2 linked regions of the Lepisosteus oculatus genome follow. The protein of the gene in region 2 purifies or fractionates together with the protein of the main gene of each other region. This does not show direct contact. Links are inferred from orthologs where the notes say so. Each region holds a gene or a part of one and is shown on either strand. Other genes may lie near its edges.

Region 1 (6,977 bases), on a different chromosome or scaffold from region 2:
GGAATTGGCGCCGTTCACATAAATGGAGAATCCCTGCTCCAAGCGCTCCAGCGCGATCTCCCTGGAGTTCTTGGCCTTCAGGCGCTTCAGGATCCTGGCGGGCAGGAACACAGCACTGCTGAGCAGGAGCAAACCTGCTGGTCACAGACGGGACTCTTGCTTTCCCCACAGGGCTGCAGTCGGCTGGACTGGAGTGGCGGGTGAAAGGGACAACCCAGCGCTACAGATTCAGGCCCACAAAGGGAAATCACATGCTGCCGCACGAATTCTCAGTGTGCTTTACACTGCACTGTAGGAGAGATTTCAGCTCAGGTTTTTCCAAAATCTTAAAATGAACATAAAGTCTCATGAGTATGTCTGAAATGTTATTCCGTAAAGTTGAAAACATTTGTTCGAGTAGACAACGGCGGCTTTCTTCTGGGGTTGTCCCAGACACCCCACATTTTGTGTGCGAGCCTGGCTCTCCGAGGTGTCACCTCAGCCAGCTGGGGGTGTATTTGACAAGCGGCCGCCCTCTGACTCTGTAACAGTAGACTGGGTGGCAAAAGAGTCACAGCACAACCGTCACGCCTCACCTGTTCCTGTGTTGAAGAGCGATTAAATATTCATCGTGTTTTTCTTCAATATCCGAGGCAGCGTGCTTCCCCGCTTCGATTCCATGCCAGCTCTTCACAAACACATCGAATGAAAGCAAAACAGTGCTGATTACTGCATGGCTCGGCCTTTCCTACACACATTTTCAAAAGCAAGAACGTGCCATCGCAGGACACACAACAGGGGAATCAGGCAAGCTCGGCGCATGGCAGGGAACGTAAGTACTGGGTAAAATGCAAAAGTTCTCCAAGAAGCATATTCTTAGAAACTGACAATCAGAAAAGAACAGATAAACTGCTCTCCATTTGAGTCTGCTGGAGCGTGTTTGAATATTGAAAAGCGGTGTATTTGGAAAAATTCCAGCAGCCAGTTTTACGCATTTTATGCGGACTTCACTGTTGTACGTGGAAAACCTGCAGGACAGGAAGATACTGCTTTCAACCGCCAGGAGAGTCATGCAAACACCCTGCAGTCTCGACCAGCAGAGGACTGAACTGCTGACCTCACAGATGAGAAACAAGGGGAATGCTACACCTGGCAGAAGGGACAATACTCTCTGACGCTGAGCAGGAGCTCAATGGCTAGAATGTGCAATTTAATGCCACGGAACTGTTGAAGAATGTGTTCAAATTTACACTGAAGCAACCGTTTTGCTTAGTGGGGTATAAAGCACACGTATGGGGTGAAGCAAGACCTTCTAAACAAATGAAAAAGACGGCAAATATTTCCCCCCCTCGGAGCTTAGCCCAGCTCAGCCCAGGAAAGGACCAGAACATCACACAGGACAAACAGGAGAAGAGAGACCCCCTTACTCAATCCCTGACAGGCAACTACAGCATCTGCAAGACAGAGGAGCAGGGAAGGAGAGAGGAGAGGGAACATGAAGAGAGGCACATCAGATAGCACGCAGCAGAAAACAGAGCAAGCAAGAAAAATGACAAGACAGCCAGACACGTAGTATTCATGCGTGTGTCACCAGCAGAGACCACCCTCTCCCCGGCTGTACATCCTGGAGCCCATACTTGGGCCTAGCTCGCTGGACCAGTGTCCAGTCGGAGGACAGTCATTCCACGCCACCATACCCTTCTCCGACGAGATGCGACCCCAGCTATAATTTGTGATCGACTGAAATCAATACCCCGTGCGCAGCGATAAGCATCAGTAGTCGCATAATCGACCCCCCCATCGCCACCCCCCATTATTTTAACAGCGCTGCTATTTGAGTGGAGCAAGCCCACCTCGACTCACGCTGAAGTATTCGCTGTCAAAAAAAAACACACAAGAAATTACCTCTTCCATCTCCGCCGGGCTGGCGCCGCCCCTGTCGAATTTGCCTGGATTCGTTTAAAACATCAGACAGAGAAAGAAACATTTTTAAACGCATGACTCTGTAAGTGACCAGACAAGAAAAAAAAATCAACATGTAAAACGCAATCTGCGGGTCTGCAAGGCGTCGGTGTTGCCGCCCTCTCCCTCTGCGGCCCCGCCCGGGCGGACGGACACCTCACCCGCAGTGAAAGACAACTCCACCCCGCGGCTACAGCCAGGGCCTACACCAATCTGTGTAGCGACAACGAAAACTGTAGTCTAAGGAAACAAACTACTTTAACACATAGAGCCGTGTGGACGATTAAGACGGAAGTGAACTTTAAAATACAGTTTTTGACCTGCGTTTTTGTTTCTTTAAAACGTTAGCTACACATAGCTTATAAACACACCACACACGCTCAGGTGTCTGCATTCGTGCTCGGATCGCATTTCTCGCAGAAACGAGAAAGATCGAGCAGAAATCGGCGTGTCCAAATGTAAAAGATCAAACTTACAGTCCATGTCATCGCCTTGACGAGGTGATAACAGACTCCAAGTGTGTTTTCAATGGGGACGCGTTCACAGCCCCGTCCGCGTTGTCATGCTGGTAACCAAGAGAGCCGCTAGCCAATCGCCACTCCGCCCCGCCCCCTGGCAATGGCGCGCTGACCAATGAGTCTGCAGGGAGACCCGGGATTCGCCACGCCCCCTTGGTGAAGACCGCTGGCTGACGTCACTGAGATGGGACCCACAACACTTCACCTTTACAGCAAATTATAAGGCCATGTGCGCTGGCAGGGAATTAAAAATCAGCAGCAGTATTTTAAATCTGGAGCCGACGGTGGATCGGGCTCTGTCTTAATTACTTTTGAAGGTTATGTGTTCAAATTCGGATCTTCACTTCCCAGCTGCATGTTGGAAACATGCAGAATCCAATTAAGAAAACAAAACTTTGCTTGCCGTTTCAATACTGGCCGCCAGAGGGCAGTACAGACAGTACATTAACTTCCGTTACAGTGTGTGTTGACATGTTACTCTTGAAGTTATCCTTTGCTTCAGCTGTTTTCCATAGGCATGTCACAGGTGATGGTCCAACTTGGCACCTGGACCCTTGGCCATTAATAATCCATAATTATTTAAGTGGTCCTCAGCTCCTGGGTTAATTGAGCAATTAAGGTCTTGGAAAGTTTAATGTCCTATAATGGCATAAAATTTAAATCCAAGATCCTTCTACTGCGTAAACCACAACACTGGGGTGCCAACACTGGTCCTGGGGAGCCCCACACCAGCAGGTTTTGTAGGTCACTGTTAAATCACCCATTTCCAATTTCCCTTGAACAATGACACAGATTTATTCCAGTGCCCATGTATACCAAGCAGAGTTTGGGATGCTTTACAGAGCAAAAACAAAAACACAAAAAAGAGGAAAAGAAGTATTATAAAAAGAACTAAAGAAAGATAAGAGATGAAAAAACATCTATCAATTCTAAAGTGATCAATTAAACAGGTGATTTGTAATAGAGATAATTCAATACTAAAATCTAAGAACTCACTAATCCTCAAGTACTAGATTTCCTGAGTCATCAATAACCCACAGGTGTGGTGAATCTTTAAAATCAGGTGCCCTAGGAGGAGGAGGAACCGGATTGGGGGCTCCCCTCGATCAGATCTCTTCTCCAGAGGATGACCCCCCCGAATATCGGCAACTGCGCAGCACAACAGGGGCTGTTGAACACCAAGCCTACTTGCAGAAAAACAGACCAGACAGCTCAAGAACAGGTGGCCATTCAGAGCATTTAGCTCATTTGCTTGCTAGATAGTTGATTGATCCTAGAATCTCCTCCAGTGAGTCTTGTGAAAAACGGATATTTCTAGAATATTTATACTCAAGATAAAAAAAAACTCAAAATAGATTTATTACATTACCATGTACTAAAAAAAGAATTTCCACTAAGACTGTATGTCTTTAAGTGGACAGCTCTGGTCATTTTACTGTTGGAAAGCATTTTTACTGCACTTTTAAGTTATTTAACAGCATGAGACTTAATGAAAATTATACAACTGTGGAAGCTGTTTTTAGATCCTATTTTAAAGGCTTATCATATGATGGCACACGTGAAACTGACAGATCTGTGTTGCCTTTTTTTGTTGGCAATTTTGTGCAAAACAACATGCGTTGAAGCTGAGGGTATCAGCACTGACATCCTCTTACAGTTTGTCAAAATACCAATCCATTTACTCTCACGATAATCCAGGAATTTGTCTTGCATGATCTAGGGATACCAGGAAACAGAATTTGTGGGGTTACATAACATCCAAAAGCAGAATAAAGAGGCTTTAAGGTGGTCCCACCTCTCCTGTGCTTCGTCCCTCAGCAGCTAGTGTCCCTGCCCTTCACCAAAGCCAGCCTCCTTGGGCTACACTGATGGCATTTCAGTTTTTGATACTGGCTAATTTATTTTTCTGCAAATACACTCTTACAAACGCTGTGCAAGTCAAGGGGAAAGTACCGTAGAGCCTCTGAAGCCTCCTTCGGTGTTTAATGAAGCTGCTGAGAGGACCTGTACCGATTCTTCAGCGCTGTGCAGGAGCAAATGGAAACAAACCGTTAGTCAAGGTTACACCCATCCAGGTTATCAAAGCGGATTGGAGAACTCTTCATTTAAACCTTGGTTTATTACTTGACATCTAACAAACATGACCTAACCTCCCAGTTCAGCCATTTTCACACTCTTCCACCCAAACGCAAGGACACGGTGTCACCGGGTGTGCTGAACTGGAGCGCTCACCTGGACTAGCGCCAGTGACGTGTACCGCGGCGCTTGTTCCCCTTCATTTCTCAGAAGGAAGAAAAACAACCTCCTGCAGGTGTGTCCCCGCGGCCCGCTCAACCGGCACCAGACAGCTGCAGCGCAGGAGATGGGCAGGCGCAGCAGTAAACAAGTGTGGGGCTCACACACCTGCCCTGATCTCTCCAGAGTGCCACAGCCACTCATTCCAGGAGTGCACACTGTGCTGTTAATGACTGCTGCAAATGGGCATTGGCCTCCAGATGATTTAAAACCAAACTGCACTCGCCTTCTGACAGCCGCCCCCCTATATATAGGCCATCCCTCTCCGGTGCGGATGTGTTTTTCTGTTGGCTTGCTGCCCTCCGGTCTGTCAGTTGTCACGTGCCGAAGCACCGCGGCGTTCCTGCTGTGCGCTGGGTAATTCCCCACCGAGCGCTCCCCTGGGGCCCTGGAGCTGAGCACCGCTGAACACACGCAGGCTCCCCGGGGGACCATACGGAGCGAGGGGCCTCTGTTCGCAGCCCCCTTCGCTGGTTCTTCCTGTGCGGCCACACGTGAGGGACGTGCAGGGGAGAGTGACCACCCCTCCAAGCTGCCCACCCGGACTGTCCAGGCGCACTCTGCAGGCAGCTAGGACAACGGGCTCCCCCCCGCTGGCAAGGGGCGCCCCCACACTGACCGTACCGCCACCCTGCAGGCCAGGGAAGTCGGGGCACCAACACAGCTCTGGCCAAGTGTACTTGCAGCAGTGCTGGCTGGGCCCATCCTCTCAGTGCACTTGGGTTCTCCTGGCTGTTCAGGAGGTGCTGAAGAGGGCCAGCTGGCCATGAAGATCACACACGGTCCGTACAGTGGGCACGAGTACTGGTACTGTGTGTACAGTACAGTCATCTCATGAAAACACAGGCAGTCAGCCATCACCCCTCCGCACTTGCTGAACACCCGCTCACCCCCAGCACACTGCGGCCGGGCTGTCCTTGTGAACCACTTCCTCACACTGGGTCCCCACAAGCTCAGAGGAGCCCAGATATCACCACCCCGCGGCACAAGGTCCAGCACTCAGCTTGGCCCGATCCGGACAAAAAAAGGGACATGCATCCCTAGAACAACCGTCCCGCCACGAGGGCGGTGCCCAGCCTGAAGCCCACTCCCCGGGATTTGCCAGGAAGTCTGGGGACCCCCCTTCCCAGCTCACAGCACGGCAGGTTTAAAAAAAACACGGGGGGCGTGGACAGGCCCGGTGGCGTTTCAGGGTCCAGTTTTTAATTATGCAAGGAACGGCTTTTAAATGATTAACACTGTTTTATTTTTTTTTAATATAAACCACTGCATTTTTTTTTATATTAAAAAAAAAAAGAAACAAAACCCAAAAAACAGAAGACGGGAGCCGCTGTGGCGGGTTGTAAACGGCACTATACCACCAGGTACAGGACTGCCCCCCCCCGCCCCCCCGAAAACACACGAGCTCTGGCACTGTAGTGACCGGAATACCAAACCCTTTCCAGAACGGACACAGGAGGAACAGGACGGGCGAGAGCGGAGGGGAGCCAGGAGGCTGGGCGGTCCGTTGGTCAGTCTGGGCCGGCGAGAGGGGTCTGAGTGACCCGGGAGGGAGAGACGGAGGAGCCAGTGTGGGGGTGGGGGGGGGGATTGGGGGCTGGGGGCGGCGCGTGTCCGATTTTTTTTTTTTAAAACCAAACCCATTAAAAAAAAGAAATTAAATTAATTTTTTAAAAAAAGTGCCTGGGGGGAAAAAAACCATACAGTATTTTTGGAGCCCTTTCGAAAAACACAAGGCATACGCAGGTGCTGGAGAGATTAAAACCCCACCCCTGTCCCTCGAAAATAAAAGAGAGGAAAAAAAAAACAATCATAATAATAATAATAATAATAATAATAATAATAATAACAACAACAACAATAATAATAATAGGAACAATAACGTTAATCTTCATCGGAGTTTTCAGAGATCCAGAGTTTACTAGGCCCCTCTCCCCTCTCCTGCAGGCGGACGGGCTCAGTCGGCGCCCCCCCCCTCGCTCCCCCTGTCCAGCTGCTCCAGCGCCGCTGCGCTCCTCCTCTCCTCCTTCCTCCTCCTCTCCATCTCCCACTCCACGAAGGTGTCGAAGAGGCTGGGCCAGGCCTCGTCCTCGCTGTAGTTGCCGAGGTCGGGCCCGATCACCTGAGTAAAGTTGAGGAACATGTTCCACGTGTCCCGGGAGATGCCCTTCACGCCCGACGGGTTCTCCGTCAGGAAGTCCAGCCAGCGCTCCAGGATGCAGG
Region 2 (7,580 bases):
TTCACTTGCGTATCCTCGCACTGTCCAGGGACAAGCTCAGGATGGAATTGGTTTCTTGGAAAGCTGGCCCTGGTGCGAGTGTGCTTGTGTCTGCCTGTGTCCTTTGATGGACTGGCGTCCAATCCAGGGTGTAGCCCACCTTGCATGCGTTGCTTGCTGGGATAGGTTGCAGTCCCTCCACAACCCTGATTTGGAAGACGCCATTAGAAACTGGATGGACGGATAATCTTAATATAGGTATGTTGTTTCTTCTATAAGATGACTAAGCAGTACTGTATCTTACTAAAGTTTTCCATGAAACCACAGGAATGAATAAGAAAGTTAATATGGGCAGGTAAAATGCTATAATTTAATAGAGTCAAAAGAGTCATAAGAAATGTTTAGTTTAACTTCTGTTACTCCATTTCCTGACATTTAATCTCTTTTATGTTGAAAGGCTTCAGATGAAAGATCATATGACACATGGGTTGTATTGTTCAGAGCAGTGCAGTTAAAACAGATCTGGAAAACACTGTGCCTCCTCAAAGCTTATTACTGGAGCAAACACTGTGGAAGCAGAAGATCATTGCACCATGTATTACTGTCCATCAACAAGGCAATACAAATCATTCCCTGAGTTATTTCAAGTAGGAATTGTTAGTCAGGCAGTCAAACATATGAAAAGAAAGTGTAAATCGTTTTAACCAATTGTTGTTCAAAAATATTTAATTTTACGAACTGCTAAAACTATACCATAAGAAATGTATCAAAACACAAAATCGAGCATCTGATTACTGTACATGTCGTTGCTGAGCTGTCTGAATCCAGGGTTCATGATATTGTCTGTAACGTGTTCCCTAGTACAGTGTCCTAGAGCACAGCTCTGAATTGCTGAGAAGCAGTCTAGCCTTTCTAAGAGTGGAATGAGTGGATTTTTATGAATGGCAATAGACTGCAGATATATAGCAACATGAAAGATTATTTGGAAACAAAGACGGGCTATTGATTTTCAGGCAACCTAAATAGTAAATATTATGGTTCTAGATACTTAATGAAAACATAAACATTCTGACTGAAGTCATAGCCAGCACCGATCGTCCCCAGGCAGTTAATGACGTTTTTCATTTGAGCTGTCCCTTTGCTGTTCTTTTGATTGACCTTGAAAAAATGCTTTCCCCCAACACAAATTGCACATCGTTAATAAACTAGGACATCTTTTAGTATTCACTGTATAAAAACAATTAGACAGTTTGTTTTTAAATAGCACTCTATAAATGTTGCAGCTCGTATGTTCGGTTACCATATAAGAATGCTTTTCACTGTATTATTGTGCTTGCAACTTGTGAAACAAGACAGACTTTTGATGGGGCTTTTCATGTTGTTGGGGACTACAGGAAATATCCTACATATAAATAATTCAGAAACACCAAAACAGTGTGACGGTAGCTGGAGGAAGTTAAATTAAGGATAATGGGATGTTAAGTCCCAACTGGAAAATGCCAGTTAGAATGCTTCCTGGGAAAGGTTTGTGGGTTTATCTCTCAGGTCCAGTTTAGACTTTACTAAGCATATTTTTCAATGAATCACATTTTGTAAACAAGAGCTTAGATGCAGAATGAGTTCAAAAACAGCACTTCATGCTGACTACGGCTTGTTCTTAAAGTGCTTACCTTTCTTTTCTTAATCAGCAGCTTTCCCACAACCATCGGAAAAACCTGTTTTCATTTCAAATGCAATGAGCTGCTCATAGCTGTAAAACAATTTTTTTAAGCTACCGGTTTTAAAAGAGGTCAGTAATTCTTGTACATTCTAAAATAAATGACTGTCTTTTTTAGAGGATTAGAAGGTTTCCTAACAATAATCATTTGCTAGATTACGCGGATGGATAGGGTTACATGAAAACAGTTAAGAAAGTCTCGGACAACACAGCCAGCAGTTCTGACTCCCTGGAAGTGCTGACGTGATCCAATTGTCTGCTCTTTCTTTTGATGATCACCTTCAGATAAAGAGCTACTGAACTGTACCGCATTATCAGGCAAAGGCATTGCCAAGGCTGTAGGGTTTCAAAGGCAAACCCAAGACTTTCATTGGAAAATTACTGCTGAGGCACATTGACAATAAGCAGCCTCTGCATAGCTATGCCCTGGATTTCCAGTGTTTACTATTCCAGTGTTCCAGTAGGCTGCAGCATGCAGTTTACTGTGGCTGAGTTTTTGGAAACATCATTTTGCCAATGATCATCATGTTCCCCCGGGCCCCTCTTTAAAGTGGCATCACTCAGTGTTGCAGAAAGGGGCTCGTGAGGATAGGTCACCACGTGGCAGTTGAAGAGGAACCTGGCTGCTCATCACCTACGCCGAGCCGCACAACTTCAAACCTCATTTACAACACGCTAACTGACAGCTAATGAAAACACTGTCAGACGGCCTGTGCAAACAATACAGGAGGCAACGAGAGTGCTTGGCTGGCAGACAATAGCTGTTTGGCAACCGGTAGGGCCAGGCTCGCTTGACTTCTCGAACAGATCAGGCTCGAGCTTGTTTCCCCGCAACGTTTCATCAATCTTAATCACGGCTGCAACTTGCAAGGACAGTTAGGTTTTGAAACTCAATCCCCTCTCTGGAAAAAAAAAAAAAAAAAAAGAGAGGCGCTAGGTTAGACTTTGCTCTGATCTGCTTTCATTCCCTAAAAGATTTTTATTACTGTTGTGGTTGTTAGTATTGGCTGAAATTCTGCTGGCATCTTCCCCGAGGGCAGTGTTTTTATTTTGTGCTTGGGCAAAGCATTTGAGCTGAAGGTTAAAGGGAAATGTGGGAGATAAAAGTGGTATTTGGGAGATAAAACTAAGATTGTAACGGGCAGAGCAAACGGAGAGCTGTGAGAGAGCAACACCTTTCCCGAATGAGCCACGAGACAAATGCATCACTCCCTATTCCTCTCATTCACAAATCCTGACCACATACAGCCAAGTCTACTCCACTCCCCCACCTCACCTATTAAATAATCCCGACAACATACAGTCAAATATACCCCTCTCCCCACCTCACTCATTCACCAGTCCCCACCCTACACATCTGGAGCAACAATTTTGCCAGCCCTGACTCAAAAAAAAATGCTATACAAATAACGGTGAAACAGCCGAAACGTAAGTCTCGCACAAGATGTTTTCAGATAAGATGGCTGAGGTGCGATTACCTTCAACAGAGGTTTCTTTAGGGATGGGCTTGTGTGCAGGAATGTTTATTATATGTCGATTTACAGCAGCGTTGCCATCTTCTGACCTGATTTTGTCAGATTTCTAAAGCTAAGCAAGTCTGGGCCTGGTCAATAGTTGGAGAGCAGACGTATACGGAAACCCGGGTTACTGCTACAGTGGTGTGGGCCTGGTTGACCAATAGATGGGGCTCTTCCCTCTCAACCACAATTTCCAACCCAACAATGCTGCAGTGTGAACTGGGGACACCATGCTTTTGGAGGTACAGATGAGGCTTTAAGTTGAGGTCCTCACTATGTGGTCATTACAGATCCCATGGCACAGCTCATAAGAGTAAGGATGCTAACCCTGGTGTCCTAGCTAAAGCCCACTCTGAGCTTGCACAGCCTGGCCCCTTGAATCAGCTCCAGCAGTTTCTGACTTCTTCACATGACCTGCTGTGCAGTGCGGTTTCAGCAGTGGATGAACTGGGTCACCTCCTTTATTATAAACCCACTTGTGATCCTTTAGCATGAACAGTTCTACGTGAAACCAATTATAATTATATAATAACATTAAACACATTGTGTATTATATGAAAATGGATGACCTTTACTCGTCTTAATTTCATACCAAAATATAAAATGCTTAGACTGCTGACAGAATTAGAAAGTATAAGTACTCTATAGATACACTAGTATGCCTTTGTATGAACCATACAGACATTGCAGAGGCTGTGTTTATCTGCTTTTTAGGTATGTTCCATTTGCTCATGCATGTGAAGTTCTGAGCTATTGCTAATGTAGTTGCTCCCTCTGCTGGTAATATATTTCCACAAGTATGGGAAATCTCCCCCAATAAGAACACTCAGTGACTATTTCATTATGTACGCAGAAGAAATCCACAGGTTCCTTCTCTCTAACGATGACCTAATGCACAATGGGCCAATAATAGTTAAAGGAACAAGTCATTGGTTTATTCCATGCTGAAAAGAGAAGAAAGAAAACACAACGTTTCGGCCGTGGAGCCTTCTTCAGGTGTGATGGTTTCCGAAAAACTAACCATGAAATTACGTTAAAACCGTCATATGGTTTGACTATTTTTACAGTTCGCTCTGTGCATATTCTCTCGGCGGAAAAGCACCACCTCGTTGATAATCATATCGGCTTTCAGCGTTTTCAGAACGCCCAAATCATATTCAGAGTGTGTATAGTGTCACATATACACTGCCATCTTCATCCTTCAATGAATAAGAGATCTAATCATTTTCACTTGTACAGCATCATCCATGCAGCAGCAGGTTAGCATACGCATACACACACACACACCAACGCCTTCCGGGTCACTTCGCCTGCAGTGACCTCAAATCCCACAAGGCACCGCGCCAGCCCTGACCCCAGGCGCTCGTGTGTGCGGAGTCCCCCGTTGCCAAGGAGAAGGCAGTGTCACAGACAGGCACGGGGCGAGGAGCAGCCGCGCGATCACAACAAACGTCGCCGCTGCCTGGCTGCACAGGCACTGGGAGCCAGAACCGGGCGCACGGTGAGTCCGAAAGAGCAGGAAAGGCAAAATATGTGCAGCCGTTTACCCTTTATACATTAAAGGATCTACTTAGAAGGATTGGGCAGGCTGCCAGCCGTTGCATTGCAACTCTTTTCCTTAGCCTGCTTTCACCTGTAATGTGGTATAGTGTAGCTGCTGGGCATCTCTGTTCAGACAGCCCGTGTTATTATAAAATATACTCTCTCTCTATATATATAATTATATATTCTTACTGTGTTCAGTGCCTGTGTTGGGTGTGTTCAGTGCCTTCCTGTCTGGCATATGTTCGGTGTATTACTGTGTTCAGTGTCTGACGTGTGTCTCATTGTTTCGTAGATATCTGGGGCTCCATTCATAGCTGTGTTGTCTCACCCATCCTTTCAGGGCTGAAACACGCCTTTTGAAGTTGTGTCCCAGCGTCTCTGCTTCACAAATTCATACTAGCTCATACAGTCTAGGATGGCAGGTTGGGTAGCAGAAACTGGTTAACTAATGTGAGAGGTTTTATTTTATTCTAAATGTACAATTAAACGTAAACAACACTGAGAATGTGACAGTTTTTATTTTCCAGTGTGAAGTGCAGCCTTCAGCTTCATTGCAGCCTGTTTTGCTTCTGTTGTGATTTTCGCGATCACTTGTCAATAATAGAAGCCAAGAGGTTTTCTTTTAAAAAAACAAAACAAACATTTTTAATTCCATTTCTTAATTCAATTACTGTCTTGAACGAATGAACGACTGACCCACGAAGACTATCAAGACTAGGAGACACTGGGACAAGCACCTTTGCAGCATGAAACGTACACTGGCCCACTTACAGAATTCGCTATATGATTGCAGTGACCTTGGGATTCTCTAGGTAGATTCTCTATGTACGTCATTAGCCTCTCTGCTCATCCTTAATTCTAATTCTTCTTAAATCCTGTCCCGGCAGATTGCGTTTCACAAAAGCTTAGTGCACTGCTAGGAAGCAATCTGTTCGTGGTCACACTCACTGTGTAGCAATGCGGACAGGCCCTGTCTCTGTGCCCATTTGTCTGTGTGCGTGGTTTTGTGCCCTGTGCGCTTGATAATTCTGTGTGGGGTGTTCTTCACCCTACTGTAGAAGTTGTTACTTCTGTATGTAACTTTTATTTGTCTCAGGAACTTTTCCTTTTCAGGGTCAATGCTGTTGACATTCACCTGTCTGCAGTACGCTGTGGTGGTATACTCTTCAAAGAAACTCCTCAAATGAGCAACAGATTGATCTTCACCTTTAAAAAGCAGCTTTCTTAGAAGGATATGCACCAAGCATGCCTACTTTCAGATGATGATAGGATAACTCTAGTTATCCACAGGAACCTTTCCATGCAAATGTCAAGATACATGCCTGAACATGCTATTAAGATTTTTTTTTGGTATTTTGCATGAATGTACAGTAGAACATGCTGCGAACAGGGTTTTTTTCTGTTTTGCTGGCACTAATGCTAATGAGGATCAGATGGTAAAAGAACAATAATCCAGATTAAAATACCTGCTGGCTGTGTTCTTTCAGGGTTTTTGCAGTCTGAGCTAATGTACATTAAACTCTCATGTTAGAATTTATGTCACTAATTCCTTGTAAGGGTCTTGCCGTTTCTAAGGATGCTTAATTTCACATAACGTACCCTGCAAGAGTATTCTCTCCCCTGCAATGATGTCCCAATTCATAAAATTACAAATGATGTCTAATCCTTTTTTAAAGTGAACATTTATAATCAAAACTTGGATGGTCAAACTGAACACACACACAAGGATTAAGGGCCCAGTTAATGCCCTGACTTGAATCCAACAGAATCCAATCTGTGGCAAGACTTGAAAATTATTGTCCATCAACCTACTTGACAGAGCTTGAGTGAGTTTGCAAAGGAGAACTGGCAACAGCTACACCATCCCAGCGTGCAGTGTTAATAGACTAATCCTAACAGAGTTGTAATTGCTACCAAAGGAGCTTTTAGCAACTATTGAGGGAGGAGGGAAGTACTTACTGTATGTTATCAACATTTTCTAGTTTTTGATTTTTCCTTGCAGTATTTGCTGTCACTTCTTAATGATCGACTTTACCTCGCTCATTGTCTTTGAATCGATTTTAATCCCCTTCTCCTAAGAACGTTATCCATGAGTGGTTTTGAAAACTCCATATTTTCATCAGTTGTAATTCAACAAAATGTGATGTCATGAGAAGGGAGTGAATACTTTTGTAAGGCACTGTATGTAAGGATTTAAAAATATCTGTTGACTGTATATTTACAGGCTTTTGTTCACCTCACAATGGTATTATTATACCGTGAATAATGTTAATTTTCGCTTTGATAATATCATATTGGATTTTTTCACAATGTTCAATGTTTACCGTTTATTAATTTAAAAGTTACTCACAAGTAACTCACCTTGGATAGAAGCGTTAGCAAAATGCAATGATAATGTCTTTAAAAGTCAGCCTACTGCACATCTGCTAAGTGAAATTACATCAGAAGTACCACATGATATGCCTACTTCATCATAATGTTTTAGTCCACAATTAATGCAAAATGCAGCGCCAGCTCAAACTCAATTAGTTGACTTTTGAAATCCATTTCTGTGTAAAGGAGATATTAAAAACAAGTGCCCTTAAATAATTACCAAGCAGGATTCTCTTTCCAGCAAACCTAACCGTTGAAGACTGTATCTCTCAGTGGAAGCTTAGCGAGGGCAGCTGTAACATGACAAACCCAATAGTTTTTTCTCACTCAGCCTTGGATTTTAGTTTTTCTACCTATAAATGAAGGACTACCGACTTTGTACTTTTTCATGTTAACGTCTCTCTGTCTGTCATAAAGCAGATATCGGTAACATTTCTCAAATCTTGATT

The links.
Region 1: the proteins of mak (region 2) and katnip purify together in Homo sapiens (affinity purification with mass spectrometry; 3 studies listed by BioGRID and IntAct, with this or other methods). This does not show direct contact. The link is inferred for Lepisosteus oculatus from reciprocal best matches to the Homo sapiens genes MAK and KATNIP.

What each region holds. Positions count from the first base shown.
Region 1 is NC_090714.1:16,335,458-16,342,434, forward strand, and holds the start of katnip (katanin-interacting protein), read right to left. Parts: upstream 3,081-6,977; 5' UTR 2,425-3,080; coding exon 2,418-2,424; intron 2,399-2,417; exon of another isoform or gene 2,103-2,398; intron 1,929-2,102; coding exon 1,885-1,928; intron 668-1,884; coding exon 576-667; intron 95-575; coding exon 1-94. Other genes in the region: dcun1d3 (DCN1-like protein 3), read right to left, coding at 6,712-6,977. UniProt on the Homo sapiens protein: May influence the stability of microtubules (MT), possibly through interaction with the MT-severing katanin complex.
Region 2 is NC_090701.1:4,028,558-4,036,137, reverse strand, and holds the start of mak (serine/threonine-protein kinase MAK), read left to right. Parts: upstream 1-4,549; 5' UTR 4,550-4,714; intron 4,715-7,580. UniProt on the Homo sapiens protein: Essential for the regulation of ciliary length and required for the long-term survival of photoreceptors. Phosphorylates FZR1 in a cell cycle-dependent manner. Plays a role in the transcriptional coactivation of AR.